Linked DNA regions of Arabidopsis thaliana. The protein of the gene in region 2 interacts with the protein of the main gene of each other region in a pairwise test. Each region holds a gene or a part of one and is shown on either strand. Other genes may lie near its edges. The genes, in order: SPT, IAA19, ARF18 and HB21.

Evidence for each region.
Region 1: the proteins of IAA19 (region 2) and SPT interact in binary tests that used the Arabidopsis thaliana proteins (3 or more experiments, as listed by UniProt).
Region 3: the proteins of IAA19 (region 2) and ARF18 interact in binary tests that used the Arabidopsis thaliana proteins (3 or more experiments, as listed by UniProt).
Region 4: the proteins of IAA19 (region 2) and HB21 interact in binary tests that used the Arabidopsis thaliana proteins (3 or more experiments, as listed by UniProt).

Annotation. Positions count from the first base shown.
Region 1 is NC_003075.7:17,411,117-17,419,278, forward strand, and holds SPT (basic helix-loop-helix (bHLH) DNA-binding superfamily protein), read left to right. Parts: upstream 1-2,966; 5' UTR 2,967-3,050; coding exon 3,051-3,560; intron 3,561-3,792; coding exon 3,793-3,903; intron 3,904-3,975; coding exon 3,976-4,041; intron 4,042-4,138; coding exon 4,139-4,204; intron 4,205-4,298; coding exon 4,299-4,544; intron 4,545-4,622; coding exon 4,623-4,692; intron 4,693-4,776; coding exon 4,777-4,829; 3' UTR 4,830-5,270; downstream 5,271-8,162. Other genes in the region: NAPRT1 (nicotinate phosphoribosyltransferase 1), read left to right, coding at 5,822-5,976, 6,052-6,196, 6,266-6,385, 6,464-6,598, 6,686-6,747, 6,848-6,923, 7,057-7,158, 7,254-7,370 and 4 more. UniProt on the Arabidopsis thaliana protein: Transcription factor that plays a role in floral organogenesis. Promotes the growth of carpel margins and of pollen tract tissues derived from them.
Region 2 is NC_003074.8:5,260,871-5,268,191, forward strand, and holds IAA19 (indole-3-acetic acid inducible 19), read left to right. Parts: upstream 1-3,130; 5' UTR 3,131-3,229; coding exon 3,230-3,638; intron 3,639-4,231; coding exon 4,232-4,325; intron 4,326-4,417; coding exon 4,418-4,508; 3' UTR 4,509-4,825; downstream 4,826-7,321. Other genes in the region: AT3G15548 (uncharacterized protein), read left to right, coding at 6,193-6,294; AT3G15550 (trichohyalin), read left to right, coding at 6,481-6,639, 6,769-6,884, 6,965-7,083, 7,179-7,321. UniProt on the Arabidopsis thaliana protein: Aux/IAA proteins are short-lived transcriptional factors that function as repressors of early auxin response genes at low auxin concentrations.
Region 3 is NC_003074.8:22,883,698-22,893,109, forward strand, and holds ARF18 (auxin response factor 18), read left to right. Parts: upstream 1-4,191; 5' UTR 4,192-4,473; coding exon 4,474-4,519; intron 4,520-4,570; exon of another isoform or gene 4,571-4,790; coding exon 4,791-4,906; intron 4,907-4,989; coding exon 4,990-5,088; intron 5,089-5,158; coding exon 5,159-5,215; intron 5,216-5,306; coding exon 5,307-5,459; intron 5,460-5,537; coding exon 5,538-5,622; intron 5,623-5,709; coding exon 5,710-5,800; intron 5,801-5,879; coding exon 5,880-6,044; intron 6,045-6,134; coding exon 6,135-6,248; intron 6,249-6,320; coding exon 6,321-6,393; intron 6,394-6,481; coding exon 6,482-6,961; intron 6,962-7,042; coding exon 7,043-7,230; intron 7,231-7,340; coding exon 7,341-7,482; 3' UTR 7,483-7,758; downstream 7,759-9,412. Other genes in the region: AT3G61826 (uncharacterized protein), read right to left, coding at 2,934-3,026; AT3G61829 (uncharacterized protein), read right to left, coding at 3,494-3,625; AT3G61840 (auxin response factor, putative (DUF688)), read left to right, coding at 8,849-9,376. UniProt on the Arabidopsis thaliana protein: Auxin response factors (ARFs) are transcriptional factors that bind specifically to the DNA sequence 5'-TGTCTC-3' found in the auxin-responsive promoter elements (AuxREs). Could act as transcriptional activator or repressor.
Region 4 is NC_003071.7:682,089-689,450, reverse strand, and holds HB21 (homeobox protein 21), read right to left. Parts: upstream 5,817-7,362; 5' UTR 5,621-5,816; intron 5,163-5,620; 5' UTR 5,150-5,162; coding exon 4,217-5,149; 3' UTR 3,955-4,216; downstream 1-3,954. Other genes in the region: AT2G02550 (PIN domain-like family protein), read right to left, coding at 687-854, 1,633-2,067. UniProt on the Arabidopsis thaliana protein: Putative transcription factor.

The DNA.
Region 1 (8,162 bases), on a different chromosome or scaffold from region 2:
TTGTATTGATTGTTTGTGAAGAAAATTGAATTTGACTCTATTAAACCTTTTTTTGTTTTTTTTTTGGTTTTGATTACCATTGGTTAAAGCAGAGATTCAACGTTAGACGGATTTATCTCGACACAACTCTAATTCAGTTTGACCGGACTGAACACTTTTATCAATATTAATGTTGAGTTGTTGACCTATATATTATTGTAATAATGAATAAACAACGCCATGATTGCGTACTATCTATCAGACTTTATAGAGTAACTACTTTGATTAACCATTACATTTTGTTTTTATGAGAATGTTTTCAGTTATATATCTTTATCAACACAGTTGAAACCTGTTCTTCTATGTTAAAGCCTTTGAATTTGAGTAATTTTACTTTTGATAGCTAGCCTTTTTAAAATGAATGATTATATTGTTAGGTTCCAAGTGGGGAGTTGTCTTGGGGATCTCATTTGACGTGTGATCTTGAATTTTTGATAGAGATCCTAATGATCTCGTGGTCCCTCTCGCAGAGTTTATGTAACCATCTAATATATAACTTCATGTCTGGATATGGAGAATCCAAAACTTAAGAAATGCACGTATTAGCATTCGTAGTTGTATATATGTTATGTATTTTGCGTCAAATGCAGAACAAAATAAAGCAAGAAGAGACCAACAATCTTCATATGGAGAATTGTAAATTGTCCAAATCAGCAATATATAGATGTCTTGAACAATAAAAAGATAACCGAGTTTAACATTAGACCAAAAAAAAAGAAAGATAACCGCTACAGAATTTGTGACGAAAAGAAAAAAGCTTTGGAGAAAAAAACAGAGTAAGAACTGTTTTTGTTGTGTGAGAAGAGTTTGTCCTTAGGTCGCATAATCTTTTAGGATGTAGTTATATGTGTTAAGTGTAACACATGCATATCATTTACTTCTGCAATATATCTCTTCTGGAGTTTCGTAAGGTACTTATGGTTGGTTTGTCTTCGAAACTACCAACGAACAACTTAAAAAACATTGATCTTTTTAATAGCGTGAGTTTGATTTATGTTATCCTTGTTATGGTGCATATGTATTACGGAAACTTTGGTCTGTTTTAGATGGGTAAATAGTTGTATATGAGTAAATATGATATTGCCAGTGTTTTATATAAAGAAAAAGGGAAACGATGATAAAAGGTGAAAAAGAAGTTTAGGATCATCTTTGTTTTTTATTTTGTTTTCCGACTTTCAAATCAGACAAGACAACGAGGTATGGGTCTTTTAACATACAGAGACTCAACTTGAAAATTCTATCAAACCACCAATTAAAAAACCAGAGAAAACATTCAACTATCTTCTTAGAATCTAGACAAAATAAAAAGTGTATCATGCTGATTTTGAACAAATTATTAAAGAGATCTCAACCATCGTTTCATTAATATCTTTGACAATTCTAGAAGCCGTAGTAAATCTTGTCTTTTTATGTGTATATCTTGTTGAATTTGATAAGGATATTCAAAATAATGAGATATGTATGTTGAGTAATTGAGTAAAATCAGATCCCTTGTTTAATTTGACGATTAAACGCTTTTTTCATTATTTTTTTTCGCATTTTGTTGTGTATGTTCTCAATTACAAATTCCACTATAAGCATTTGGACTCTACAATGTCACTTTCTAATTCTGATATTTAATAAAACAATTATTTTGTATATGTATAAATAGTACCAGAAAAACGAACTTAATAAAATAATTGAATCAAAAGCAGATGCTGAACAAATAGCTGCAGCTTTTAGCAATTGTCTCCCATATGCTTTTCCTTTGTTTCAAAAATTGTATATACGAGGTTAAGTGAATGTTGCAATGAAATAAATGATGCAGTTTGTGCATTCATCAAGCGAACAAGTACGATTGATGTTTTCAGTGCAAAAACTAAAATAAAATACTACTAACAACTATATAGTGTAAATATATATAACTTTAACTTCTTTTTTTTTAAGTCTTCATACGCTGCGAACGATCAAAATATATTTACAAATTTACGACCAATATTTTAAAAATACTTCATTAAAGAATTGATGCTGCTGTCTGCACAGTTGAGAACGCAATTGGAAACTTTCGTGCATTCACTTTGTTCGCCGCAAATTGGATATGTGAACGTGGTCATCATTATTTATAGAATTATTCTATAAAACTTACTATAAAACACTAGATATAAAGCTGGATCATATAAAATGAATTTACTAAAAATTCGATAGTTAATTATAGCAGATGTTATGTTCCAATTTGAAAGCATACGAACGAGGTATATAGTTGAAAACACACACCGTAAAGTTAATAATTTTCACAACACAAGAACAAATCAAAGTCGCAAGTAATTTAACGCATGTCAGTAGCATGGGCTTCTTATATACTAGTCAATAGAATAAACTAGCAAACAAGCAACTAATGTATTCTTGTTTATCACGCCACGGGTTACAATATCATACAAAATTTGAATACTAATTAATGGTAACAAGTAAAAAAACAAATTACTAGAAATGGAAATACTTTTGTCAAACAACCAAGACGTATAACTTTCGTTTTCTATAGATTAATGGACTTCTTAAAAATCTCTCCATCAGATTAAACTTTGAGATATACAAATACAGTTTTTGTTTTCTTCTAAATGATATGAATATTAACTTTATCGATTTCATCCGTAGCAGATTTCCATTTTAAATAATAAACTATGAGAAAACAGATAAAGGTTGTATATTATTTGTTACCCCAAAAAAAAAAAAAACTAACTACGAGTAGTAGTTTAGTGTGTCTCACGTGCGACGAGGAAAAGTTTTGGGAGAGTAAAAACATTTAATATTTACGACTAGTTTGAAAAACCGTGAGCTGACACAAGCTCATTGCTAATGCTACAGTAACAGCTACCTTCACTTTTAACTAAATGACAGACCAATCATTTTAACCTCTGTTTTCTTAGCTGGCGCGTGACAGACACTCTCCCTCTCTCCATGCCCATAAAATCTCAAAGACTGTTTAAAAAAAAAAATGTTTTAGCTTTAACTGCTTTTTTTTTGTTGTTGGTGTAATGATATCACAGAGAGAAGAAAGAGAAGAGAAGAAGCAGAGAGTGATGGGAGATAAGAAATTGATTTCATCTTCTTCTTCTTCCTCGGTTTACGATACTCGTATCAATCATCATCTTCATCATCCTCCGTCTTCTTCCGACGAAATCTCTCAGTTTCTCCGGCATATTTTCGACCGTTCTTCTCCTTTACCTTCTTACTACTCCCCGGCGACGACTACAACGACGGCGTCTTTGATTGGTGTGCACGGGAGCGGTGACCCACATGCAGATAACTCGAGAAGTCTCGTTTCTCATCATCCACCGTCAGATTCTGTGCTTATGTCGAAACGTGTCGGAGATTTCTCTGAGGTTTTAATCGGCGGAGGATCAGGCTCAGCCGCCGCGTGTTTTGGTTTCTCCGGTGGTGGTAATAATAACAACGTTCAAGGAAATAGCTCTGGGACTCGAGTATCGTCTTCTTCCGTTGGAGCTAGTGGCAACGAGACAGATGAGTATGACTGTGAAAGCGAGGTTTTTTCTCAATCTCTGTTTTTTATCTTTTGCATGTTTTAAAAGTTGATTCTTTGTCTCTTTCCCGAGAAAATGTTTCTACAGAGATTTCTCTTTAACGGATCTGTACTTTATTTTCCCCCTTAAAATCCGCAATTTTTTTGGTTGTGATTTTGAGTGAAGTTTTGTCATTTGTGAGTGTAATAATGAATGCACACCGAGTGTTTGATAATTTGCTTCAATGAAAATACAGGAAGGAGGAGAAGCTGTAGTTGATGAAGCTCCCTCTTCCAAGTCAGGTCCTTCTTCTCGTAGTTCATCTAAAAGATGCAGAGCTGCTGAAGTTCATAATCTCTCTGAGAAGGTTTGGTTTAGAGTCTCTCCCAAAAGTAGAAACTTTCTTATTTGAGATTTATGTTTATCTTTCTTGTAACAGAGGAGGAGAAGTAGAATTAATGAAAAAATGAAAGCTTTACAAAGTCTCATCCCTAATTCAAATAAGGTAATGATACTATATATAGAGAGACATCTACATGAATCATTCTATTTTCTGTAGATTCTTTTTGTGTCTGATTATTGCAATGTGTTTATTGGGGAAGACGGATAAGGCTTCAATGCTTGATGAAGCCATTGAGTATCTGAAACAGCTTCAGCTCCAAGTTCAGGTCACTAAAGATACCTTATGTTTATCATTATAACCAAAATCCTAAAACCAGTCTATATTCTGACATAAGTCTTTTTTTGTTCTGATATTTGCAGATGTTGACTATGAGAAATGGAATAAACTTGCATCCTTTGTGTTTACCTGGAACTACATTACACCCATTGCAACTCTCTCAGATTCGACCCCCTGAAGCAACCAATGATCCTCTGCTTAATCATACCAATCAGTTTGCTTCGACTTCTAATGCACCGGAAATGATCAATACTGTGGCTTCTTCATACGCTTTGGAACCTTCTATTCGCAGTCACTTTGGACCTTTCCCTCTCCTTACTTCACCCGTGGTGCGTAGTTGAATTACACATTTTTCATTCTATAACCATAAAGCTAGTTTGCTTACTAATTTTTTTTTGTTACTTAAGGAGATGAGTCGGGAAGGTGGGTTAACTCATCCAAGGTTGAACATTGGTCATTCCAACGCAAACATAACCGGTAAAGTCTTGTTGTTTTGGAATCCTAAGGAAGTTTTAGGACATTTACAATGTTAATAACGTTACGATATTTGGGGATTTGCAGGGGAACAAGCTCTGTTTGATGGACAACCTGACCTAAAAGATCGAATTACTTGAACAGTGTCCCAACTTCGGGATCTCTATGTGTTCTTGTTTCTTAGAACGCAAGCCATAAAGCTGTCTGACAATGGAGATGCATTTAACTGTCTTTATTTTTTCTAAGGTTCTATTTAAAATCAATTGTTGGTGACACGAATTCTAGAGTCTAATCTTTTGGATCTAATAGCTATATATAAAAAGGACTGAAATTTTATTACAAAGTAATTGACTAATTGTTAGATTGTTGTATGTTTATGGTGGATGTAAATTTTCTAGATCATCTTCGTATTGTATTTGAGAGTTTGATACTCGATGGCTTTGGATATGTAAATTACCCCGATAAGCTTCTAGAGAAGTTTTCGATTCTACAAGATGGATTTGGTATCTTTAAGGTTGACCATGTTCTTTTGGTATCTCTTGTTCTCAAATTGATCATTTACAATACAATTTTTTAAAATCTTTTACCCTTCACATTTTTGTACTTACATTTGGTATATTAGTAATTTCATTTGTAAGTGTCTTTTAAAAGTTTTTCATTTATAAGTGTTGTTTTAAGATCTTTTATGATAATTAAAAAATGCTTAAATATCTTATTAACCCTTAATTAGTATACTTATAGCTTTAGTTCTCCAATTAATCTTTAGTAAGTAAAAGGGACAGAGCTAGAACTTTATTTAAAATTGGATTGAAAATACATAAATCTTATATTTTTTTCAAAAACTAGTATTGAACATACAATTTATTTATTTTATTTTATTTGTAAAACAACAATAAAAGTAAAATCATACAACGATATATTTTGAAAAAAGGAAAAGTAATTAGGATTCTCTTTCGGTGAAAATATCAGAGAACAAAATATATTTGAATGCGACTGTAGTTGAAACTTGAAAAAAATTTAGATACTAAAGTTTCGTCATTCTCTTTTTGTTAAAGACTCAGTGACGACCCTCTCCTAAAAAACACTCATAAATAAACTCGCTGGAGACGCCGGAACCAAAAACAGAGTTCTAATGGAGAAGAAAGAAAATGGTCTCGATGGAAAGCAATCGGGTCGGGTCATTAACGGACCCACTAACCCGATGGTCACACCTCTGCTCAACGATCTTTACCAATTCACCATGGCTTATGCTTATTGGAAAGCTGGCAAACAATCTGAGCGATCTGTGTTAGTATTCTTCAAAATTTACAAAAAAGTTCGATCCTTTGAATCCACACTGTAAAATCTCATCTTTGTTTTCAGGTTTGATCTGTATTTTCGTAAGAATCCTTTTGGTGGAGAATACACTATCTTTGCTGGTTTAGAAGAATGCATCAAATTTCTCGCTAATTTCAATTTGACTGATGAAGAGATCGATTTCGTTCGTGATTCGTTACCTGGATGTGAGGTATAACACAATCTCTCTTGCCAAAAGATTCGATTTTTGGCATTGTTTTTTAACTCTTTTAAAAATCAGGAAGCTTTCTGTGATTATCTTCGAGGGCTTGATTGTTCTGACATTGAAGTGTATGCCATTTCGGAAGGATCAGTTGTTTTTCCTAAAGTTCCTTTACTCAGAATCGAAGGTCCTGTTGCTGTGAGTTCTTATTATCTATCTCTAACTCTCATAATTGGAATGATCAGTTTCTGATTCCTCTTGTGCTTCTTTACTTAGGTGGTGCAATTGTTGGAAACTCCATTCCTCAATCTCATCAATTACGCATCTTTGGTTGCTACAAATGCAGCAAGACATCGGTTTGTTGCAGGAAAATCTAAGCTTCTGCTTGAGTTTGGTGCTAGAAGAGCTCAGGTTTGTTTCCCTCTCAAAACCTGTTCTATGTTTAGCCTTAGATGTTGAGGTTTTGTTTGTTGCATCTCTGATATGCAATTGTTATAGGGACCCGATGGTGCAATAAGCGCATCAAAGTATTGCTACCTTGGAGGTTTTGATGCAACAAGGTATGTCTTTACTAGTGATATTTTTGTTTTGTTATGGAAACATCAAAAGGGAAGAGAGGATATGATTTTCTCATTTTGCTTGCTTTGTTTATTACTGCAGTAATGTTGCAGCGGGAAAACTGTTTGGGATACCCCTCCGTGGTACTCATTCCCATGCTTTTGTTAGCTCATTCATGGTAAGTTTGCTTTAGCAAAATTTGTGAAAAAACTCGCTCTAACGTCATTGATTGAGAATTGTGTTTGCGATATTTTGTATCACTGGAATATTGGAAGCAGTAGTGAATATACTTTACTTTGGTTCTTGTGTAGAGCCTTGATGAAATTGTTGACAAAGTGCTTCGAAGTTCTGATGGGAAAAGCACTTGTAAGGATTTTATATGTTTGGTCCAAACTTGCCTAACAAAGATTCAGGTTTGTTCAGTCAAATCTAGATTTTTTCTCAGTGTAGTATTGTTCTGTATTTGATTCATCTCTTTTTAATCTTTCTTGTGATCGGTGGACGATAGAATTCATCTTCATTACAAGGAATTTTTTCCGAGACAAATCAAAGCGAGCTTGCAGCGTTCATTTCATATGCACTGGCATTCCCAAACTCCTTTCTCGCTCTTGTAGACACTTATGATGTGAGTTATATAACGCTTTATTCATCTCATCTGAGATTAAAAGTCTTTATGGGTGTTGTCGGAGTTAAAAAGAACTAGTGTTCCTAATTGTGTAACAGGTGATGAAGAGTGGTATTCCAAACTTCTGTGCTGTTGCTCTAGCACTTAATGAATTGGGGTGTGTACGAATTTTCCATTAATGCTCCATATTTGATTCACCAGGCCATTTTTTTGAAGATTCATGACTGTGCCGTTATGCAGATACAAAGCAGTAGGCATTAGACTGGATTCAGGTGACTTAGCCTATCTTTCTACTGAGGTCAGGAAATTCTTTTGTGCCATAGAGAGAGACCTCAAAGTTCCTGATTTCGGGAAGATGATCGTCACTGCTAGTAACGATCTAAACGAAGAGACAGTCGATGCTCTAAATAAACAGGTAAATCTCTGCTTAACCTTAAAAAGTTTTTACCTTAAGGCCTACGTAATAAAATCTTGTTTTCTTTTCATCCCGAAAAGGGTCATGAAGTAGATGCATTTGGAATTGGAACCAACTTAGTGACTTGCTATGCGCAAGCTGCGTTAGGTTGTGTTTTCAAACTTGTGGAAATAAACAATCAGCCTCGGATCAAACTTTCTGAAGATGTTACTAAGGTTTGAATTCTTGACTCATTTCCCCATTGAGAATGTTGCTTCAAACTTTCTGTGTTCTTCTTTATATAAACTCCCTCGCTTTTCTTTTTTTGCGTCTTCAGGTATCGATTCCATGTAAAAAGCGTACTTACAGATTGTTCGGAAAAGAGGGTTACCCTCTTG
Region 2 (7,321 bases):
ATACAATTCTTTGATGTAAACAAATCATTTTTTTTTTGTTTTAGTTTTAACGACCAGAGAGTGGCTCGATAGACTCTTCGAAACAAAAAAAGCGTTCCTTCGCATCGGATTTGACGAAGATCAAGAGTATTTTAGATCTTATTTCGTGCTATAGATTTATTTACAACTTCACATGTATCATGGTTTTCTGAACGGCAAAATGTTTTACTAGGAGAAAAATAATGTTTAATATATCCGCAGAAACGGGCCATATGTCGGAAGATTGGGTTAGAAGCTACCGAATCGAAAGCCCAACAAGATATCGAACCAAACCCTATAGTTTTACTTTGGCATACTTTAAACAGATTTTCTGTATCTGACGCCGTTCATTTGTTTTACTTTCTCCTTAACATCCGACGACTATTCTTATGATAAAGAAATAATATCCAAGTTAAATAAATATTTACTCGACTAATGCGTCCGCTAAACACTCGTGCTTTCCTTTTATAGCTTGTTGCCTATTTGTCGGACAATGTTTTATAATTGTTAAAAAGTTTATTGAACATTTTAAAATTGTATATTTTGGAGTCGAGAAGAATCAAAAGTTATTACTAATATTTATTAATGAAAATGACTAACACAATTTAAAAACGGAAAAGTTATTCGCAATCTAAACGTTACATAAACTATAAACTAAAACGTTACAGAACCTATGAAATAGCATACGGCTTAGGGCTCACTAGTTATTGAGAGTTCTAAATTTTGACTTAACTAAAAGTCCTTATGAATCAATATTTTTCATTAACAGTAACCATTTCAGTATTTCTACATAGGAGAGCCTTCTTTTTCTGTCATCACTTATTACTGTTGCCTGAAACTATTCCGGTAAAGATTGGTTTTTAATTTCCCTTCATGCTTAACCAGATATTCACCTGATTCTCCCAGTACACATGTAATTTATGTGCTTTACATAAAACTTAAAAAAATACTGACAATAATTAAAATATTCGTTTGCAGTTTCATAATTTAGTTTATGCTGCTTATGGACGTGGGAACATGCTTGTAGTTTAACTTTTATTTGGTCGTCAATTTGATTAAAAATTATACCTTCATTGATTCTTTTTGAAAGATACGTATTGTGAATAATGTATAAAGGATTTAGAACATAATTATGATCCTTGAGACTTGTAATATTTTATTAACTAACCGAAAACATAAGCAAGAGAATCGTGGATAACGACCTAACGTATAAGAAACATGAGACATGTCACAATCACTTTAAAAGTTTTCCTATCAAAACTCGAGTAGAAGCACATGAAATTTCTGGATATTAAAAATAAATAAATCAAAATAGCCTTATATTATTGCTGTCAGGAAATAATTCTATTTAGACTACCTGAATTTCCAGTTGAACGGCGTTTTTCCAAATTGCAAGCATCATATATTATGCTCATCGTATCATTAGTGCATAAATAAACTATGGACCAATTTCATGGTGAAAAAGGGGCTTCGGATGAAATTTTTGATCAAATTATATTTGTTTATTGATAAAACAAACGTTTTTTTTAAAGGATGACAGTTGTGCGTTTGAGATGAAAACCAAACACTGCTCCCACTCAAAATTTGTAAAAATGGAATTTATAAATATTTGGTGCTACAAATGTCGTTTGGTAGCCTTTGGAAACATTAAAGGTAAACTAGAGATATGGGAGTATGGAACTTAATCTCTTTATGTGGTTGTATTTCATATAATTTCACGTGGCCCAACTTGTTTCTGTCAATCCATTGATCAAAGTTGGTAGACAAGAGTGAACCCACACACACTCACACACATACACACGGTCGATCTTTTTTTCTATTCTCGTGTCCCTACGTCCTCTAAACCCCATCATTATACTTCTTGTGTTTTATTGGTATGCTGAGCTAGAGATAGTTAACAACTACCCAACAATGCGGGTCTGGCTTAGTTTGAACCTATTCGAAACTAGTTATACTCCGCTTGAAGTCATTGGTTCGAGACTAACTTTGGAGATGAGTATCATAAACAGCTCTAACTTAAGATTACAATACATCCTCTTGTTAGTCTAAGTTGAGAGGTGTTGCCATTGACTATATATTTCTTTGGGAATTTGGTTTACCAGGATGTTGCAAAGAAGATTTAAATAGTTATAAATTAGTACAAATTCAATCCATATGATATGATATTCAAAAAACAAAAAAAAAAAAAAACTGATCTAAAAGTCGAACCAAATTCTAATTTGATTAGAGCATGTATATAATTGAATCCCTAAGTAAAATTCAACCCAATACTTGAGAAGGTAGTTATATTCTTATAAATTATGGATATGATTTGATTAAAACTCAAACCTGAACCCAAAACATACTAGAATATACGTTTTTACTTTGTAACTATTTGTCACATTCCAAAACTAAACTCGGTACTATATTTGATTCTGATCCATACAAATTTTGTATATCTGGTTTATATTCTCCATGTGAGATTAAAGCGGTGACCAATCAAAATCATTGCTGGAATATCTTACTATTAAGCTAAATGTTGTTAGTTATATACAAGCCAATCCAAAAAAACTGATGCAAAGAGAGATAAACGAACATATCCCAAAATGGTAGGATTTGATTTAATATTCCCATCCTCTTATTAGAAATGCAAACAAATAGACTATAGTTTTATTTATTTATTTTCACTATAAAATAACTAAATAACATGAACTTATTGAAGAAAAAGTATACTATAGTTGTGATTCTGTGATATACTAGTTAGAACAAGAATCTTTACAAAAAAAAAACACATGGGATGTTAGGAGAAGGAGATTCGGATTCCAATGATCCAACGGTCAGAGAAAAATCAGAAGAAAATTTCACAACCGTAGGATCTGTTCCCTTAACCACCTTGTAATGCCGGTCTTTATTAATTTTGAGAAAAAAATAAAAACAGCACCAAACTTATGTCTCTCATGTGACCGACCACCGCATCCTCAGTTGACCTGTCTCTGCCCCCACTTTGTCTCCCCACACAAACTGAATAACAAGAAGAAGAAGACTTTAGATATCAAATGACTCCACGTGTCGATATTGGATTGGTTTTCATTGGTTGTATCGTGTGGACCAACGAAGCAACATATAAAAAGCACGACGCGGTGCCATTACTACAATAAGAGAAGTGTAGGAGAAGAAAGTTCTCATTTCATAATTGTATCAAATTGTGAGAGGAAAAAAAGAAGTTCAAGAAATGGAGAAGGAAGGACTCGGGCTTGAGATAACGGAGCTGAGATTGGGGCTTCCGGGGAGAGATGTGGCAGAGAAGATGATGAAGAAGAGAGCTTTCACGGAGATGAATATGACGTCGTCGGGTAGTAATAGTGATCAATGTGAAAGCGGCGTCGTTTCATCTGGTGGTGACGCTGAGAAGGTTAATGATTCGCCGGCGGCGAAAAGCCAGGTGGTGGGGTGGCCACCGGTTTGTTCTTACCGGAAGAAAAACAGCTGTAAGGAAGCTTCGACCACGAAAGTGGGGTTAGGGTATGTGAAAGTGAGCATGGATGGTGTGCCTTATTTGAGGAAGATGGATCTTGGTTCGAGCCAAGGCTATGATGATCTAGCCTTTGCTCTTGATAAGCTCTTCGGTTTCCGTGGCATCGGTTAGTAACAATTATGTTCTCTTCCCATAAAAGTAGAGTGGTAATTAGATCATGTGGAAAACAACTAATTATATATAGTTTACAAGACGTCCGATTAAGAACTTAGAGTGTTGTAGTCTTGTAGACGTAATGGAGTAGTATAGTTTAGTGCTGTTCTTTCTTTTTATGTCTACAACCAAACCAACACCCCAATTTATGATACAATGACAACACTAATACAAATATAGTTAGAATTTTGGTTAGCAGTTGAACTGATTGTGGTAGCAATGTTATAGATTTTAATTTAAAGTGTTATGAAAGGACAAATATGTCGAGATTTTTATTAGTCATCTCAGGAAATTTATTTACTTGTTCTTAGAGACTTAAGACTAGTCCTAATTTAACTGGTTATTTTTCTCCAAACTGTTTTGAATTATCTGAAAATTATCTATCATAGAAAATTAGAGGTTTCGGTTACTACATATCCGTAATTTCTAAAAATCAGAATTTATGCACCACTTGTATAGTTGTATTGTTAATTAGACTTTTCTATATACCGAATTCGCCATATTATCAACACAATTTTAAATTTACATATATACATATTTGTGCAGGTGTGGCCTTGAAAGATGGTGACAACTGCGAATACGTTACCATATACGAAGACAAAGATGGAGACTGGATGCTCGCCGGTGATGTACCTTGGGGGTATGTTCTATCTTTTGACTTAAGATATCTCACTACAAAAAGAAAATGTATCACAAACTAAAGTAAATGAGTTTGGATATTTTGATTTGCAGGATGTTTCTAGAGTCATGCAAGAGGTTGAGAATAATGAAAAGATCGGATGCTACCGGGTTTGGGCTGCAGCCTAGAGGAGTAGACGAGTGATGATGACTTGAACAAGAAGCAAGGAGCTGGTTCATTAATTTAATCTTAAACTTGATCATCAAGATCCTTTAGAACATTTTTCCTATTCATGTTATATAAATATATATGTTATAGTATATTATTTTGCAACAAAATTTCATGTTATGGTTTTGCATAATTATCTTCAGAAAGACAGCTATATATATATACACTACTTGTTTCTTGAGTGTTGAGTTAAAACATTAATCTGTTTCAAAATTTATTGTTATTTCGGATCTATATATGTGTGTAGAAACATATGTAATAAGTATCCATTATTTCATCTTTTTAAAAAATAATAATTATTATTTGAATCTTTCATTGTTGATATGTTATGTATACCTGTGTTTTGGAAAAAATATGGATATTATAAGCAAATCTAAATAGATATTTATAAAAAAAGTCTACGTAAAACATTCGTTAGTTTTTACTTCTACTTCAGTAAGTGACATCACAAATCTAAATAGATGTTTTCATAAGTATATAAGTGTAAGATAAAAACAAAGAATTCATTCTTCCTTTTTTTTCTCTTAGAGTTATGCTTGTATAATTTATTAGTACTATAAGATTTTTACTAGTAAGTTTTTATTCCAAATATTCGTATACCTCCGAAGAAATTAGTTAATTCATAATCGTAATTTCACATTCAAAGTTAAGATTGCTTAATTTAAAGATTTAAGCTTATTCTTCATTTTTTTTTTTTTTTTTGTAATGATTCTTTTTATAGATATGCACATCTTGCTTTTGATAGCATAAGTACTATCAATTATAGAAAACACCGACATGTTCGGTATGTCAACCTAGTTTTTGTTTTTCTATATTGTTGTTCTGTACAATAAAATTAGTACTTGGATTTACAAAAATTAACATATGTGATTATGAAACGAACCCATATGATTTGTTACAACTGTGACCTACCCATGTGCGTTCCAAACCAGAAACAGCAAAGATTCAGCCCATCCCCTCTCACTTGTGCTTTTTTCTTGGCCCAAATTAACGATACCATCATCATTATCAACCACACTAAATAAGTCTATTTTTGATTACATACTCTATACTCACTATACGTACTTTTGGATTCGTTCAAGCCTTCAAGGCTTTTCACATATTCAAAGGTCTTTGTATTAAACTTTGGTCAACATTACTATCTAAAATATTTCCGTTATTTTGAAAACCACAAACATGCGTTTATGTTTTAAACTTTTAATGCATAGGAATGTCAACACGTTATCTAAGTCATTTTTGACTGTAGGTTTCCGACGCTGGTAAAGCCGTGCTACTCAGGCCCGACCCAAATGGTGAGACAGAGAGACCATAGCCCATGAATCCAAAACTATTACAGAAAACAAGAAGGAAATAGGCTCAGATGTTTTCAAAGAATAATAGAAATAACCCAAAATATATTTTTAAAAAGGCCCAAAACAATTTAAACACATTTTTAGGGGCCCAAACTTTTTCCAAGCATAAGTTTATATTAAAAAAAGTCTTTCTGTTTTTAATATTCTCTATTAACAACAACAAAAGTTAAGAAAAATACCCAAGAAATTCGTAATCACTAGACCTTTTGATTCACATTTTAAAAATTCAAAAAGGATCCGTAGGTAATCAAAGTTTTTTTGTCACAAGAAAGATGATCATAGAGCCACCAAACTAACTTACTCCATAAATGAAGAGCGTGGGTCCGACGTGGCATATAGCCGTTACAGTCCCACATGGCCGTTTCAATGCTTACGTGGCACTCCTTTTTAAATTTTTCTTCTCCCAGTAGCTGTTATTATTATTTAAATTATTAAAAAGGGAATGAATGGTCATCGTTAAACTCAACTAAAATCCGACCGTTGTTTGAGTTTTATCTTCTTCTCTTGTCTGAAAACAGAACACTCCCAAAAGCTTATTTTTGCTTTCTCTTTGGTTAAAACACAATAATCTAGAGAGATAGTTGATCTTCGTGACTATGATGGGCGATTATGGTATAACGGAGGAAGATCTGGTGATCGAGGAAGCTCAAGGCTATCCTAGAGCTTACACTAAGATCTGTCGCGATTTTGATGCTTTTCCTTACAAAAATGGTCCTCCTTTCACTTTCATGCCCTACATTCTTCAGCAGAACGAGGTAATTTGATCCATTCATGTTTTAGCCAGACCTAGATTGAGTTTAGAATTAGAGTTTTTTTTTTTTTGGAATAACTGGTAGCTTCTCTGTAATGACAAAAGTTATCTTTTTTGTTTGTTTGTCTTGTAGAGCTTGAGATGCAGAGAAGTAGATCAGATGTTTCCAGTGATTGATCCGAAAGCGAGACCAACAACAAAACCCAAGATCTTCCTCAGTCTCTTGTGGAAACAGCTTAATCATCTAGGGTAAGTGCTTAATCTCTTCACAGTACTTAACACACTAGTAGTCAATTTTCAGATTCTTATGATTATGATTATGTTTGCAGAAATGCAGGATTTGATCCAGCTGTTATTCGGATTGATCCATATGGGAATGTTGTTTACTTCCACGCTGATTCAGCTTCTCCTCTTGCTTGGAGTTTTGATCATTGGTTCCCTTGCTCAAGTACACACACTTCTCCCTTGCTTTTAGATTTTGAGTTGCTTTGTTGTCTTATTTATTGATTACAGCTTTTTCTGTATCTAAATTGTTTTTTGTAGGAGGAGGTTTAACAGTACCAAGCAACCTAAGGATAGTGCAATGGCAAGCACGCAAGAACAAGAAGGACAAGCTTGAGTTCTTAGTACCATGGTGGGATCTTCAAGTTGGTATTTCTGTGAATCAGTTCTTATCGATTTTCGCT
Region 3 (9,412 bases), about 18 Mb from region 2:
ACGGACGATTTTATTAGAATTACCAAAATACCCCTTAATAATTGACAATTCCTGCGACCTGCGTGAGTCTCCACTTCAGGTTTGGGATCGAAGAAGCGGAGAAAAGAGCCAAAGAGTGCGAATGATATGATTACACCATTTGCATTTCTTTTAGATGTGTCTAATGCAGAAGTCCCAACTTTTTCATATTTGGAAAGTTTCTATAATTCAACTCTTATTCTTTTTTCTCTTTTTTTTTGTGTGTATACACTATGAACCATCAGATTTGAGCAAATAATTAATCTGATCTATAACGAATGGATAATAATACGTATGAAATTTCTACAAAATATTTATGGCTATTTTTTTTTTTTCAATGAATTTGTGGCTAATATTTATCAACCTATATCGATAACCTATATATTGAAAATTATATCAACCTATATATTGTTGAGAAAATAAAGAACAAATAACCTTATCGATATATACTACAAAAGTAATGATCATATCTTATGTTCCAAATAAACTGTAATCATACGGAGTACAAAAAAGACATTTAAAAAAAAAAACGTAATCATTTGAGCCAAATAAACTGTAAACATGTTAAATATACACACATGCCTGTATTTTACGATTATATATACATGTCGTGCTAATTAGTTTTGTTATTTAATTAATAACATGGAATATAAAAGTTTGAATCCGAATGGCGAGACATGGATATCACTAATACAAACTACTAAAATTTTAAGTAATTGTATAGTACAAAAATAGTTTTTTTTTTCAAATACTTTTTAAGTTTTTTTTGCACGTAATGCTTTCATAATTTAATTTCATCAAAAGGAAAACATTTCCCTGTTACGTATGGAAACAAGGAAGGATCTGATTACTTACCCTAATCGAATCAACGGATCCGATGCATACCGCATGGGGCATACGCATAGAGAGCTTTTAATTTGTAGATTAGTATTATTGACTATAAAGATAATCATAATTATTGGTCATTAGCAAACTTAGAGTTTTAAGACACCTTACCCTTTAAGTGGAGGGAAGAGTCGTTTTTATGATTTTAGCACAGCTTAAAATTATTGTTTACTATTGTCTAACAAGACCTATGCTAAGATTTATTAAAATAATTACCCCTAAAATGCTCTTGTTAAGGCTCCACCAAAATCAAAAGAAAACAATAAATAAGTTTCTGCTTATATAAAACTCTACAAATTTCTGATGTTACGTATATTGTATACTCGTTATAAGCAATTAGGCATAATGGAAGACAGGGACGAAATGTGGTGTACGGTCAAATAGTAAAATTGTACAAAATAAGTTTGGTTTGTGGAAAGTTTGAAAGTTCAATTATTGCAAGAGGTTGAAGGTAAATACGACAGTTGGAATCAAATGTTATTTGCTTGACTGGGTTATCAACCTAAGCAAGAAATTTGGTTCTTAAAACAATCTAAACATATTGGTTTGATTAGTACTTCTTAATCTTTCTGCAATGATAAGTAGTGTACTGTTGATAACCATAACCTTATAGTAGAAGATAGGACCATGTTGGTATTTTTCCACAACTTTTCCTTCTCTTTTTACAATTCATAACAAATGAATACTGTCGATTAGTTCAATATATAAATATAAGTAATACAAATATTCCTATATTCTTGTAAAATGACGTGGTGACTATGACTAAACAGGTGATTAAGTATATTATCAAATATATCAATGGAATATAACAGTGATTAAGAAGAATAAACAAAATTAAAAGATTTTGTGGAATGGATTCCACTAAACCACTACGCAATTTAAAAATAAAAATACTTAACTAATGTATAGTTATTTATTCCCATCCATGCGTTCATATTCACTTTGAATGATCATATTCGTAATCCTATTTATTTATTTTACTATTTGAACCTTTTGTGTGTATAAATAATTTCAACTAGAGAGAATATCCGCAGCAGCTCGTTAAATTAGTCATTGAATTAAAAAAAGATATTCAAATTTTCACCCAAGAAAAACGAACGCAACTAAAATGACGTTCAAATTTGGCATCATCTTTAGGTGTATATTATTGTGAGAGATATGCAAGCATGAAATCTCATGCAGGATAAGAATCATTGTTAAATTTATTTTAATTCCGTTATATTTATGGTAATATCATCCTATTACCTTTTCTAAAATTATGTTTCACTCTTTAGTTCAACCTTTGGTGATGAAATTCGATTCTTTCATATCTCGTCTCCGCTTTGCAAGGATTTGTCCGTACAATAATCATATGCACTATTTTAATTATTTTTTTGTTGGGTGGGATTCAAAAAAGTTTTTTTTACCCCTCTATCAGCTAGTTAGAGAAGTGAGACTATATATGATTCCAATCAATAATACATCACATCTATATTTCGTCTTGTAACGCGGCCACATAATCTTCATCAACGAAGCTTGAATGTTGTAATAGTGTTTCACTATCAACAACACACATTTGTAGGCCTTATGTAATTAGCGAGAGAACTCTACAGTCTACACTATAACTTTGAGTGGAAATAAATACTCGTATATGGTAACATAAAAATACTATGAACTTATGATTATACAAACTTGTAAGTAAAAAAGAGTGGTAAGGCTATGTAATATCGTCGACGTTTTCTAGGTAAATCTTAAGCTATAAAAAAGATTTTGAAACCCAAATAGTATCGAGTGATAGCATTAGTCTCATCGGGTGGTTACAAGCCAACATTGATTCGTGTTGCAAATTTTATTAAATACAAGGGTGTACACAAATCAAAACGCAATAATATTTTTGGATCATAGTCTTTCTTCACTATCATTGGGAAAAATAAAATAAAATAAGAAAAATAGCGATAGAATTTCCTCTGTAAATGAGCAAAATTGGTAGGACAAGTCAGCATTTGACACGTGTCGGTCATGAATACGACTAAACAGCGTGGCAATTTCTCTTACTCTGACGTGTCCATGTGGGGACCACTTTCTCCTCCGACACTTCGGCATGGCTTTCTCAACTTTTTATCACTCTTCTTCACCATTCTCATTTACTAAGCGCGTGTCTCCCACCTCTATCCGATTTAATTTTTTAAATTTGACGTTTCAAAAGTTCCTTCTATAAAAGCAATTAACGATAATTATATGAAATCCGTAAACATGAATTTTTCAAATAATTTCGATTTTTGATTTGCTAAGATTAAAAGCGCGTGAAAGAAAAAAAAGAATACAGCATGAACACCAGCGACTCAGAACTGACTCGGCACGTGGTAACATAAAACTCACACGCTTCCCAAGACGCTCGTCCCATAAAGAGTCATGGCTGTGACCTTGTGCGAGTGTGGGTGTAGCCATAGCCTTTGTGGGTCCTAAATAAAAAAAACGATCAATGGCATAATGTGTAATTAACTCACATTCCACAGTGTTAAATAAAAATTAAATCTGTAACGGAAAAAACAATCTATCTGATGTTACACAAAAAAAAAAAATAACGGAAAAAAGAAAATGTGGCCGGGGTTTAATAGAGAAGCCGACACGTTTGCCTGCCACGATCCAGACACAAGACGATGTGGGTAACGGCACCGTCAAGTGCTAACGGCAACGGGGTCATCAGTAAAAAGGGCAATTTAGGGATATAGAGTAAAGTCATAAGCTTATTTATTACTATCGTCTTGATCGGACGGCTGAGATTTGCCCTCTCCTTTAAATGCACCGTACGTTTTTTTTTTACATAATAAAATGTAATTAGTTCATAAGCAATTCCCAAAACGCCGCGTGACCCTTCGTTTGCCTTTGAATACAATTTGTTTTATTTTAGCGCATTTAATATATTTGAGTTTCCTTTTTAGCGATGACATGATAAAACAAAAAACAACAATTTTAGAAAACATTTAATTAAATGAATAGAAAAATAGGGAGATTCAACTGAAGTTACTGTGGGTGGAAATGACAGGTCTCCAGGATCTGAACTAAGAGAAAGTCTCTCTATATTTTGATATATAGAGAGAGATAAAGAAGGAGAGAGTGTGAATATATGTATGTGCATGATACTGTGAGACTTCTTCAGTAAAGGAAGCAGCTTTGGTTTGCTGCGGATCGGGATAAAAACGGCGAGAAGTTTGTGATTGTTGAAGCAAAACAACACGGAATCTGAAAGGAAAGGAGAAGACAAAAAAAAAAAAAGATTTTAAGAGGAAGAGAGAGAGAGATCGGTTTCGTGGCTGACGGAAAAAAAAAGGGGAGAGATTTAGTTTTATCCAACAGTGCCTGAATTACGTTCTGCAATCAATACGGACATAACCGTCCGTTGTGTCCTGTTTATAAAGTTTTGCTTTTTTTATTTTCTCCATTGATGGGTCTTTTCTTTCTTCTCTCTCTCGTGTTTCTTTCATGGGGTTAAGACTAGTGTTTACCGCGTGAAGGTTTTTTTTTCTTTCTATTTTCTTTCATTTCCTCTCCTTCTACTTCTTCTTCTCCAGTTCTCATCTGGGTTCTTCAATGGCGAGTGTTGAAGGTGATGATGATTTCGGAAGTTCTTCGTCAAGTGAGTAGTAAAAGGCTGAGACTTTAGAAAGTTTTGTTTTTTTTTTTGTTTCTAACAGTGACTCTGTTTGGGGTTTTACTCTGTAGAATCAAAATCAGCTTTGTAAAGTTTCGATTTTTTTTTCTTTCATTTTCTCGGGAGACGAGCTTAGAAAGAAATAGAAAAAACCCCAACTTTCTTATTTTTCTCGTATAGCTTCAAAGTTCACATTTTTGTTATAGTTTTGCCGCGGAAATGTGACTGTTAGGGTTTTGTTGTTGTTTGATTTTAGGGTCTTATCAAGATCAACTATACACAGAGCTATGGAAAGTTTGTGCAGGTCCATTAGTGGAAGTTCCTCGTGCTCAAGAGAGAGTTTTCTACTTCCCTCAGGGTCACATGGAACAAGTATATACCCACCCAAAAATCATCTCTTTTTACCCCAATTTTTCTTTTTCCATTCTCTTTCTAAATTCTGGGTTTTTTTGCAGCTTGTGGCGTCAACTAATCAAGGAATCAATTCAGAAGAAATACCTGTTTTTGATCTTCCTCCAAAGATACTTTGTCGAGTTCTTGATGTCACTTTAAAGGTAAAGTTGGATCATAAATGTTAAAATGTTTTATTTCCCCTGAATCTGTTAACTAAATTTTGATTTATAGGCGGAGCATGAAACAGATGAGGTTTACGCTCAGATCACATTACAACCAGAGGAAGATGTAAGTTCTTAAAAAAAAAACTCAACTTTATTTCAGTGAGTGTTAATTTATATTGATTGGAATTGATTTCAATTTACTGTTTTGTTTGCAGCAAAGTGAACCAACAAGTCTTGATCCACCTATTGTTGGACCAACTAAGCAAGAGTTTCATTCGTTTGTTAAGATTTTAACGGCTTCAGATACAAGCACTCATGGTGGATTCTCTGTTCTTCGTAAACACGCCACTGAATGCTTGCCTTCTTTGGTAAATATATTCTTAAAGAAACCTTCTCAATTCAAGAAACTTTAGCTTGAATTCTCACTCCAATTTTACACTTTTTAGGATATGACACAAGCTACTCCTACTCAAGAACTTGTGACTAGAGATCTTCATGGCTTTGAATGGAGGTTTAAGCATATATTCAGAGGTATTGATTCTAATCTTGGTGTGTTTTTGTGAAACTGTGTTTGGACTAAATGAGACATTGACTCATTGAGTGCCGTTTTTGGTTTAGGACAACCACGGAGGCATTTGCTTACTACGGGTTGGAGTACATTTGTATCCTCGAAAAGACTTGTAGCTGGAGATGCTTTTGTGTTCTTGAGGTACTTTTGAAATTGAAACTTTATTCACTGGTCTTGTTTAGTTTCATGAACCTAAATGTAATGCCTTTGTGTTTTTCAGGGGTGAGAATGGGGATTTACGGGTTGGAGTGAGACGATTAGCTCGGCATCAAAGCACAATGCCTACTTCGGTTATTTCAAGTCAGAGCATGCATTTGGGAGTTCTTGCTACAGCTTCTCATGCTGTGCGTACAACAACAATCTTTGTTGTCTTTTACAAGCCTAGGTATATAGTAATGTTCTTTAGATGATTTTGCTTTATATACATAGATGGTTTAGGACTCTTTGATTGAAGAAAAGTTTTCTCTCTTTGCAGGATAAGCCAATTCATAGTTGGGGTGAACAAGTATATGGAAGCTATAAAGCATGGATTTTCTCTCGGTACCCGATTCAGAATGAGGTTTGAAGGAGAAGAGTCTCCTGAGAGAATGTAAGAATCCATTTTCTCTGATCATTTCTTTTTTGTCAGTGTTCTTGATTCTGAAACCTGGAACGTCTTCAGATTTACTGGTACGATTGTGGGAAGTGGAGATCTATCTTCACAATGGCCAGCTTCTAAATGGAGGTCATTGCAGGTTCAGTTAACCATTCCACGTTCTTACATTTTAGTGTTTTACTTATTACGTGGTCTTTATATAACGTTTTTGTCTTGGTCTTTCTTAGGTACAATGGGATGAGCCAACAACAGTTCAGAGACCAGATAAAGTCTCACCATGGGAGATAGAGCCTTTCTTGGCAACTTCCCCAATTTCAACTCCTGCTCAACAACCACAATCGAAATGCAAGCGGTCAAGACCCATCGAGCCATCAGTTAAAACACCAGCCCCACCTAGTTTCTTGTACAGCCTCCCTCAGAGCCAAGATTCCATTAATGCATCCCTTAAACTGTTTCAAGATCCATCACTTGAGAGAATTTCAGGTGGATACTCCTCAAACAACAGCTTCAAACCCGAGACTCCTCCTCCTCCAACGAATTGTAGCTATAGGTTGTTTGGATTTGATCTCACAAGCAATTCTCCTGCTCCAATCCCTCAAGACAAGCAACCGATGGATACTTGTGGAGCTGCCAAGTGTCAAGAACCCATCACTCCAACCTCAATGAGTGAGCAGAAGAAGCAACAAACATCAAGAAGTCGAACTAAAGTAATTTTCTTTATCAACTCATATAATAACATAGCAACAATGTTTTGAAAATCTGATTTCTTTGATCTTGGATTGAAAAAGGTGCAAATGCAAGGCATTGCGGTTGGTCGTGCGGTTGATTTAACACTGTTGAAATCTTACGATGAACTGATTGATGAGCTTGAGGAGATGTTTGAGATTCAAGGACAGCTTCTTGCCCGAGACAAATGGATCGTTGTCTTCACTGATGATGAAGGAGATATGATGCTTGCTGGTGATGATCCGTGGAAGTAAGTTCTAAAATAACAGAGTTAAACATTTCCGGTTTAGCTCAAATCAGTTAAATGTGAACTTAAACCGGAACTGATTTTGCAATGTTCTGTTGTGTGGGATTGTGCAGTGAGTTTTGCAAGATGGCAAAGAAGATATTTATATATTCGAGCGATGAGGTTAAGAAAATGACAACGAAACTGAAGATTTCTTCGTCGTTAGAGAATGAGGAATATGGTAATGAATCATTCGAAAATCGTAGTAGGGGGTGAGAGTTTTAGCTGTTAATTAAGGTTAATTCGGCGACGTCGTTTTAGTGCGTAAGTGTCTAAAGACTTTTTTTTTAGTCTGTGTATATAAAGTCTTGTCCTCTTTTTCATGTCAATTTTTCAAGTTGGCGATTTAATATTTCGGTTTTGGGACAGTGGTTGATGGGGCGGTTTTACATCTTTTATGTGTATGTACTTGTTCCATAACCATTCAATTTTCAAAACCAAGTACATTCAATTAGTTATGGGTTCAAAGATTATATTTCTAATCAATAATTAAGGCTTAAAAAAAAAAAAACTACAGTATTAGAGAAGAATACAAAATACGTGAAGGCGTGGAAATCAACGCGGCGGGCATCATATGAAAGTCATGGAAAAGTAAAGGAGTCAAACGACTAGTTAAGATTCTCTTTTGGAGTTGGTAAAAATATTTGTGGATTAATGAACTTCTAGGATATAGTGTTATTAGAAAATTGAACTGAAATCGAAAAAAATGAAAACTAAACTTTGGAAGTTCATGTTATCGTGCCAAAAATAAGTCTCCATGATGTTCTCTATAAAAATTCTTAAGTTTTAATTTCCAAACCTTTTAGCTGCATCAGATTTTTCTTTAATAAAATGCAAATGACAAAAGAAAGAAAATCTATTTTGTTTTCGGATAAAGTCACATATGAAGTGTATACTGTAGTTGATATTTGTCAAAAAAAAAAATATTGTTTTAAACTTTTAATTCAGATTTGCCTTATAATGAAGAAGAAAACAATACAATTATTTTCAAACTTAGTATTGGTTTGGTGGTGGTTATGTACTTATGTAGTATGGAGCAACTGTTTTTTTTTTGCTAAAGATTAATTGTTTTTGGTATGGAGAAATTGTTTTACTTTGACAAAAACCAAAAAAGCCTCAAGCTAACTAAACTGAATAGATTTTGGAGCTGTAGTATAGAAAAAAAAAAAAAACATTTTTCTGTTTGGATAAAAGATTTGTAAAAACATTTCTACCTTTATAAATGATATAAAGTTTCAGTCCGAACAAATCATACAAAACGAACATCCATAGGACCATCATACTCAAAGTATGAGCTACAAATATCGTACTCCATTAATATAAAATCAAACAAAACTTAAATTTTCATACATATACTAAGAAATTAATAGGTGACAGAAAACAAAATTAAACACGATCGTAGTTTTAGTTGTAGTCGAATTAAATCTGACTAATTTTCCTCAACCAAAGAGTACGGGTTTGACTTTCAGTTCGAGGAATGGTTATAGTTAAACAGCGTTGCATCTTCAATGACAATTACATATATTTAATCCATTGTCTTCTTCTTCAAACGAATCATAATAAGCAGAAACAAGAAAGAGATATGGTTAAAACCCAAAAAAAGAACAAGAAAGATACAAGTTTTGACGCAGACGATAATGAGACGATGATAATCATCACATCGAAACTTCAACATGTATTAGCCGCGAAATCGAGAAGGCTACAATACTTATCATCACCGGTAACGACTAAAGACGTGTCATTGTCACTCATGTCGTCCCCTGATGATTCACTCTCTCGCGCTTCGATTCCTTTCTCATGGGAAGAAGAACCTGGCAAGCCTAAACACCATGTTCGTCATCCTTCTTACTCCAAGTGTCTTGATTTGCCACCGAGGATGCTCTTTCCTGACGAATTTACCAAAATGCCTCGGACAGCGAATCATGGTCGTTATCTCGCCGGGTGGAAACGGTGGTTCCGGTGGAAGAAAGAGAGAGATGGTGATGCTTATGTGGCCGGAAGTGGAAGTTATATTTATCCATCGGAAGATGAAGATGATACCAAGACCACAAGAACAAAAGGTCTCCATTGTTTCTCTTACGTCACTAGGTGTTACTTCTGGGTAAATTAACCTTAAACTTCATTCTATTTCTTTAAAAAAAAAATT
Region 4 (7,362 bases), on a different chromosome or scaffold from region 2:
TCAATATTTTTGAACGATTAGCAAGTAAAAAATTGTATCACTGAAAGTTTTCAACCTAGGCCAAGTATATGTGGTTTAGTGGTAGGGGAAGCTTTGGGAAGGATGAAACTCTTAGACCCGAGTTCGATTCTCCTTGAAAGTTGGTAAGTGTATAAGTTGGGTCTTGGTTTAATTGGTTTACTTGGTAATTAGAAATGTAGGCGGCCGCCTGACTACCCCCTGGCATTAGTCAGAAAGCATTTCAAACTCGTGACAGACAGACAGTATGGTGGTTTTTCGGGAAGAAGTCCACTCGAAAACATTTCGGTGTGTTTTTACTAGGGCTAACCAGATCAGCCGATAAGGTTTATAAGAAAAAAAAAAAATTGAATCAAAATCATTTGTTAAATGTTCCCGACCCAACGACTACCAAATAAACATGATTTCATTGTCGATAGTCATCGCTAACGATTATAAAGTTAACAAAATATAACTGATTGTCATTGTTGCTAACGACTAAAAAAAACTAAAACCGTAAAATATGGTATAGATGTGAGATTTTTTGTCGAAATTAGACTTCCTTTATTTTGAACTAGAACTTCGAAATTCAAATTATTAGATACTTTTGTCTAAGTAGTTTCTTCGTCATCTGTTTCTTCCACTTCCACGTGTGTAAATTTTTCGTGGGTTTCAGGATTAAGTCTTCCTTATGCTATTTCCTTAGTCTTAGTTGTTGACAAATATGTGCCCGTAGAATCTTCATACTTTCGAATGACAAATTCATCGCCAGACTCACGGTCACGCAAGAATGGAAGGTTAGACACCTCAGGCACATTCAAGTGTTGAAGCTCTTCAATTACTTGATTATAGACATACTAATATTTGAAAAGCAACAAAATTATGAATTTTTTCAGATGAGAAGTTAGGTCAGTGCTGTCCTCTAGTAGTTCCTCTATTACCTGAAAGAAAATGAATAACACACATCATGTCATCATACATGCAAATACAAAATCTAAATGTATAGTATACTACTATTTTGAACTAAACCAAGTAAAAAGTACCTCTCTACCACGTATAGTTTTAGTACCAATTATTTCATATGCTCTTTCGGATCCCTCCGTTAATGGCCATTTAAAATAGTCACAATCGCAAAGAATGCACATCTCCAGAAAATTATCGTCTGTGAATTCTGAAAAATCGTAAGATTTTGCTTCTTCTTTAGTTTCTTTTTCGTTGTCTTTATTTTTCTTGCTACTATGAAACCGCTTCAATAAGTCTATCATTTCGAGTTCAAGCAATTCAAAGTCTTTACTGGCGAAAATAATTTGTGATCACACAAAAGTTTAAAGTGGTAGTAAAAATTAATGTTATGTCTACATGAGAAAAACCTTTAAAATAATAATAATTGATAAGTGTATTAAAGAACTTACTCTTCAACATCTAAATGGTATGAGGTCAGTGTTAATAGTGAGAACCGCATAAACGCTTTTATCTTTATTATTAGCCAAATATACAAGCTGTGAGCAGCAACGATAAACTCAATATTCGGATACTTTTTTTTTTTAAACCTTCAATGGGAGAAAAAAGAAAGGTTAATAAAAAATTAGAAAGAAGTGAAAATTCTTAAAAATAATTATTTACCGTAAATGTTACCTCAATGAAAACATGTATCACATAAGGCGTGATGTGTATATGACTTTGAAAGATCTTAGTAGCATTCTTCTCTTTGTCCTTTCTCTTAGGGTCATCGGGAGCCATAAGTTGTGCTGATGCGTCAAGATCCTTTGCGTATTCTAGAGTTTTTATTGGGTTCCGCGGTGACTTAATAGGTAAACGATGTCCATCGAAAACAAGAATAGGATTCACATTACGGTCGATGAATTGTTTGACTTTTTTGATGACAAACATTATATGTTCAGAGTTGGGTGTAGTTGGTTCCTCCAAGAATTTCCGGGCATTATTTAAAGCACCTCTGTATAACCACATTGAAGCGTCAATTGCGAGAGTTTTACTGTTGAGAGCGGAAAAACTAATTGATTTCAGAACCTTGGATTTTCCATAGAGAGAGTACAAACTTGTGAAGCCCATAGCTTACAATTATTCTTTTTTTTTCTTTTTGAAGCAATAACAAAAAGGAGTGTGTGTCAATATATATAGTGTGATGAAAAGAGTCAAAATTTCCCGTTAGCTATTCCTTTCCATTATTTCTGCTATTTTCATTTTTTCCTAGTTTACATTTTTCTATATTATTATTGTTATATATTTCCATAATTTTGTTTGATTTTGCTGGCCGATTTCATCGTACGGACCTAACCCGGTTCGGTTTGGTTCAACTGTATTTCTATTATATTTTCTGGAAGTTTTTCTATTAACTATAATATATATTAGGTGATCACTCTCGATACGTCGCAGTTTTTTCGGATTCTTTTGTATTGTTTAATTTAAATATAATTTTTATTTATCTAATCATTCACTCATGCAATAAAAAATTATTTCAGTATTAAAATATTTTTTTTCTAACAACATTCTCAATAATGCATCATACACATCATTCATAAACAACGTTCATCTTAAACCAATTTAACAGAGGGTAGTGTTCGTAATTAGAAACATAAGAATTTGATGATGGATCGGAGCTCCGTACGTATTATGTACCCTCGATGATTTATTATATAAATATCAATTTAAAAAATAAACTACTCAAATCATTAACTAATTCACGACTATTATACACTCATACTTTGAGTTTGGATTACAAAAAAATCTTCGAGTATGAAAAAACTATTAAAATAAAATATTTAAATAAATTTATTGAAAAATTTATTGAAAAATCATGTAATATTTAAATAAATTTAGTAATAGTACAGTAAATATGTAAAATAAAATCATATATAAAATTAAATAATAAATTTATCATTAACTTATAAATTAAAAATTGAAAAGTTTACATTAATTATTTAATAGACACATGATAAATGTTAAAGTGATGATGTATCGATCATATGTAAAGAGTTGGATAATTTATATATATATATATATATATATATATATTTTATATTGTTATAGTGCTATAATGCTATGTCAATCTTGAAGGAGATAAAAATATATTTGAATAAAATGACGTTTCAATAACAAAATAATAGTAATGGCAATCAATAAACTATGTCAGTTAATTGAATTTTTATCTTCCACGAAATACGCAATACGCAATTCATTATTGATGTTTTACTGAAATCGAGTGATAAACTATAGGCATAAAAAATTATACTACTATAAAACAACAAGTGAAAATGTTACATTTAATATTACAATAAATGAAACATGTGATATCACAAGGAACAACAACATCTTAAAATCGTAACTCCATTTTGATGCATGACATATTTTATCCCATATCACATTACACGACTTGCAATATGCCAAGAAGTCACATAAAGTAAATGCACATAATTGTTCAAATAAAAGAAAAGGTCCATAAATGAGTTTACTAGTACACCAACCAAACATTTACTCAACCTAATACGTCATACATATTAGGACTTGACTTACACTCGCCAGGACAATCTCCAACTCTCTCCATTGATAGAAATCGTAATTTATTGCTCTCTTTGTTTTCCGTGCAATTTATTTTTCGATCATGAGAATGAAAATATTTTTTCAAACTAGAAAACAAAATAATAGAATCAAAGCAAGACCGGATGTTTAAAAAACAAGACAAATCAAAAAAAAATATTTTGTTAAATCAAAACAACGACAAAAAAGAAACAAGACAAATCAAAACAAGACCGGCGTAAGATTTAGGTAACTAGTATTAATTTTGTTATGGACTTTGTATGATACACTTCCTTTAATAAATATCAGAATTCAAAAAACAAAAACAAAAAGAGTTACCTATGAGAATCTAAAATTCTGCTACTCACATAAATAGTAAACGTGACAAATGATATCACGAACTACAAAGTCTAATGATTCGAAGTAAATAATAACAGTGCACATCCCAATGCATTGGTTAAATCGCCAAGAATTTTCTTAAACATACATTATAAGAAAACATCAAAAACTTATCTTACACGCTCCAAAACCAAGATTATAGGTACCCTAATAAAACACATGTTTATAAAGCTACCTAAACAATGATTAGCCGAGAAAGGAGAAAACATTAACCATACGATAAGAAAGTACTTAATTAATTAAGTAATCACATGAGTGAAGTTATATAACAACAATCTGAACTTAACTAAGGATTAGTAGAAGCAAGATTTTCAGTAATGTCGTTATTACCAGCAGAAAGGTCGACATTGTTACTAACGTTGTTGCTCTTCTTGGAGAGATTTTGTTTGTTGTTGTGCATCCAAACTTTAAGAACTCTTCTCCTAATTCCAATCTCTTGACAAAGCTGTTGAACAACAGATTCCTCTTGTCTCTGAATCTTCCAACCAACTCTTTCCGCAAAACTAATCATCTTCTCCTTTTGCTCTTGTGTAAACTTTGTCCTAAACCTTTTCTTCTGATTATGTCCGTAACTATACGGTGATGGTGGTGGTGGTGGCTGCCGGAATGTCAAGCTTCCTCCGCCTTCTTCCTCCATAAGATCCTCTGACTCTGAGTTGGATCCAGCGGTTGTAACGCCAATAGGCATTATCATTTGTTGTGGTAATGGTGATTTGATCATCTTGTGGTGGAACATGAGTTTTCTCTGCTGCGGAGGTGGTTGGTGGTGGTTGAGGTAAGGGGAAAAGAATGTTTTCTCTTCACCTTCGGTTTCTCTTCTATGAAAGTTTCTATGGCAGTTGCAAACTGAGCAAGTGAGAGCTTCAATGGAACCTTCTTCACCACTTGGCATAAACTCTCCACAACCATCAATGGCATTGCCTCCCATGGTAGCTGCATGGTTCTTTAGGCATTCCTTGTACTTTATCACCACAGGCTTCTCTTTCTTGATGTTGGTAACCATGATGTTGTAACCCACATGATGATGATGAGAATGATCATGATTTTTACCAAGACCATTACTATTTGAGGAGACTAGTAGTGGGTTTGAAGTAGTAATGTTGAGAGATGATGGTGCAGAATTGGCATGATGATGATGGTTCATGTTCCCATGCCCACCTCCACTATTACCATAACTAGTGTTTATTGGAATAGGATCTTCTTGACTTGCAATCTCCATTCTTTTGATCTATCTGCCAAGGAAATAAACACGATTTTATATTTAAAACTTTTTTTGGGTTTTGCAAAGTGTTTCTTGGTTTGGGGACAAAGAAACTAGTTAGGAAGAAAAAAACAAGAGTAAAGATAATTAATGAGTAAAATTCAAATGATTAAGCTACAAAAAGGCAAGAGCTTTCTTCACTACTCATTAACCCCATTTTTTTAATTATTTCCTCCAAACAAAAAGAAAAACCCTAATTTTAGAAGGTCCATAAAGATAGAGAACAAAACGAAAAAGTACAAAAGAAAAGAAAAACTTATTGCAAGCCTGCTTAAGCAAAAGCTGACAAACCCACTTGAGAAAGAAAGGTCTTATTCCAAGTGAGAGGTTGATGATAATCAAGAAGACAATCTTTATTGTATCACCAAAACAAAATTGTTCTATTTAAACCAAATGAAAAAATTGACTGAAGAAGTTAAGAGCACATACCCACAACCAGAAAGAGCAGCAAACTTTATCTCAAAATGAAACCTTTCTTGAGAATAACCACAAGGTTCTGAGAATAGAGAGAGGCTAAGGAGTTTAGAGATTTAATTAGGGTTTTATAAAGTGATAGACTTTGAAGAAAGAAGATAAAGAGAGAGAGAGAGAGAGAGAGAAAGAGAGAATTGCAGGTGGGTTTTGGATGTGAAGGCACTTCTTAAACTAAGGGCTTAGAGTATTAGTAGTGAAAGCCAATAAAGCATGAGAAAGACACATGAGAGCCATAGCCATAGCTAATTATTTCCTCACTTTTCTACAGACAAAGAGAAAAAAGATCATTAATTAATTACACCTAGTTTTCATTTTATTAATTCATATATAGGATATTTTATTCAATAATGTCTCTACCAAATTAAAATTTGGGTGATAATATATAGACAAAAACAATACAATTGTGATCAAAATATGGAAAAGAAAAAGTGTAGCTAAATTATTTGAAACAAAAAAAGCTACATCATTTAATTTAAAATTTGAAGAAACAACAACAATCACTAAATTAGACTTTATAAGATAAGTAGTTATTCATTTTTATATACATTTTTACTCATGAAATGTCATTTTATAATATTGATATATCGCAGTCATTGATGAATTGAAGGTTATATTGAATATAAGACCATCCTCATTCTTCATTGGTGATACTTTGAGGGTGTCTTTAAATTAAAAATAATAGAAAAAGATAATTTAATGTTTTTAATTGTGTAATAGTGTCTTTAGAAAGACATTTTAGATCTCTAAAATAGAAGCTGTCTTTAATTTAATTTTAATTTATTTTTGAGATATCTACAAAGGTATGAGTAATGTGGATGCTCTAAGATTTTCATATTCACCCAAAACAAATTATCAGTAAAGGGAAAGAAAAAAAAGAAGAGAGCCAAGAATTAGGATTATGGGAGATTGCTTGTCTTGCACTATCAGACATCAAATTTACAACAGTGTAGAAACGTGTCAGATAATTAGTGGGAAGAGTATTGAAGTAGATAACAAAGAGAAAGTCATAATAAATAACAATATCTCATCTTTGTTCCAAAACATTAAATAACTAAAAATTTGGTAGTAAGGTATAATAATAATATTTTTTACCATCTTAAAATTTAAAAGTGTGAGATTGATACTAATTCAAAACGAAAGAATGTTCTAAACATTACTATAAAGCCTTAACTTGTTAAGCTAGTTAATTAAAAACACATATTGTTCCTTTACCCTTCGGCCTTCGCCATTAATTATGTCACGTATGATATTAGCTTCAAGAGGTTGTCATGTCATGCTTGTGAATTTATATGATTTACTTGAAGTTACTATTAATTATTGGTCCTACCAAATATGTGCACTTATATACCATGATCATCCGTTTTCTGGAACATACAATTGTGAGAAAGAATCAAAAGATAAACAATAAAATAAAAATATCATAATCAACTGATAATATAGTTACTGAAATATATTCATAAACCAAAGTTTGTTACGAGTTTTGTTAAGACCAAAATCTCGATTATTATTAAGTTTTGATAATATAAAGTTTTTGGTTTATATTGCGGGCTATCAGTGTTGTAAAATTAGACTCTATGTTATAGATGATATATGAACAATTGCTCTTGGGTGGCAGAATTGTAAATTTTGGCCTAAAAGTATATATAGTAAGTCTTGGTAAATAGATTTTTTTTATTGCTTTACATTTTCGACTTAAT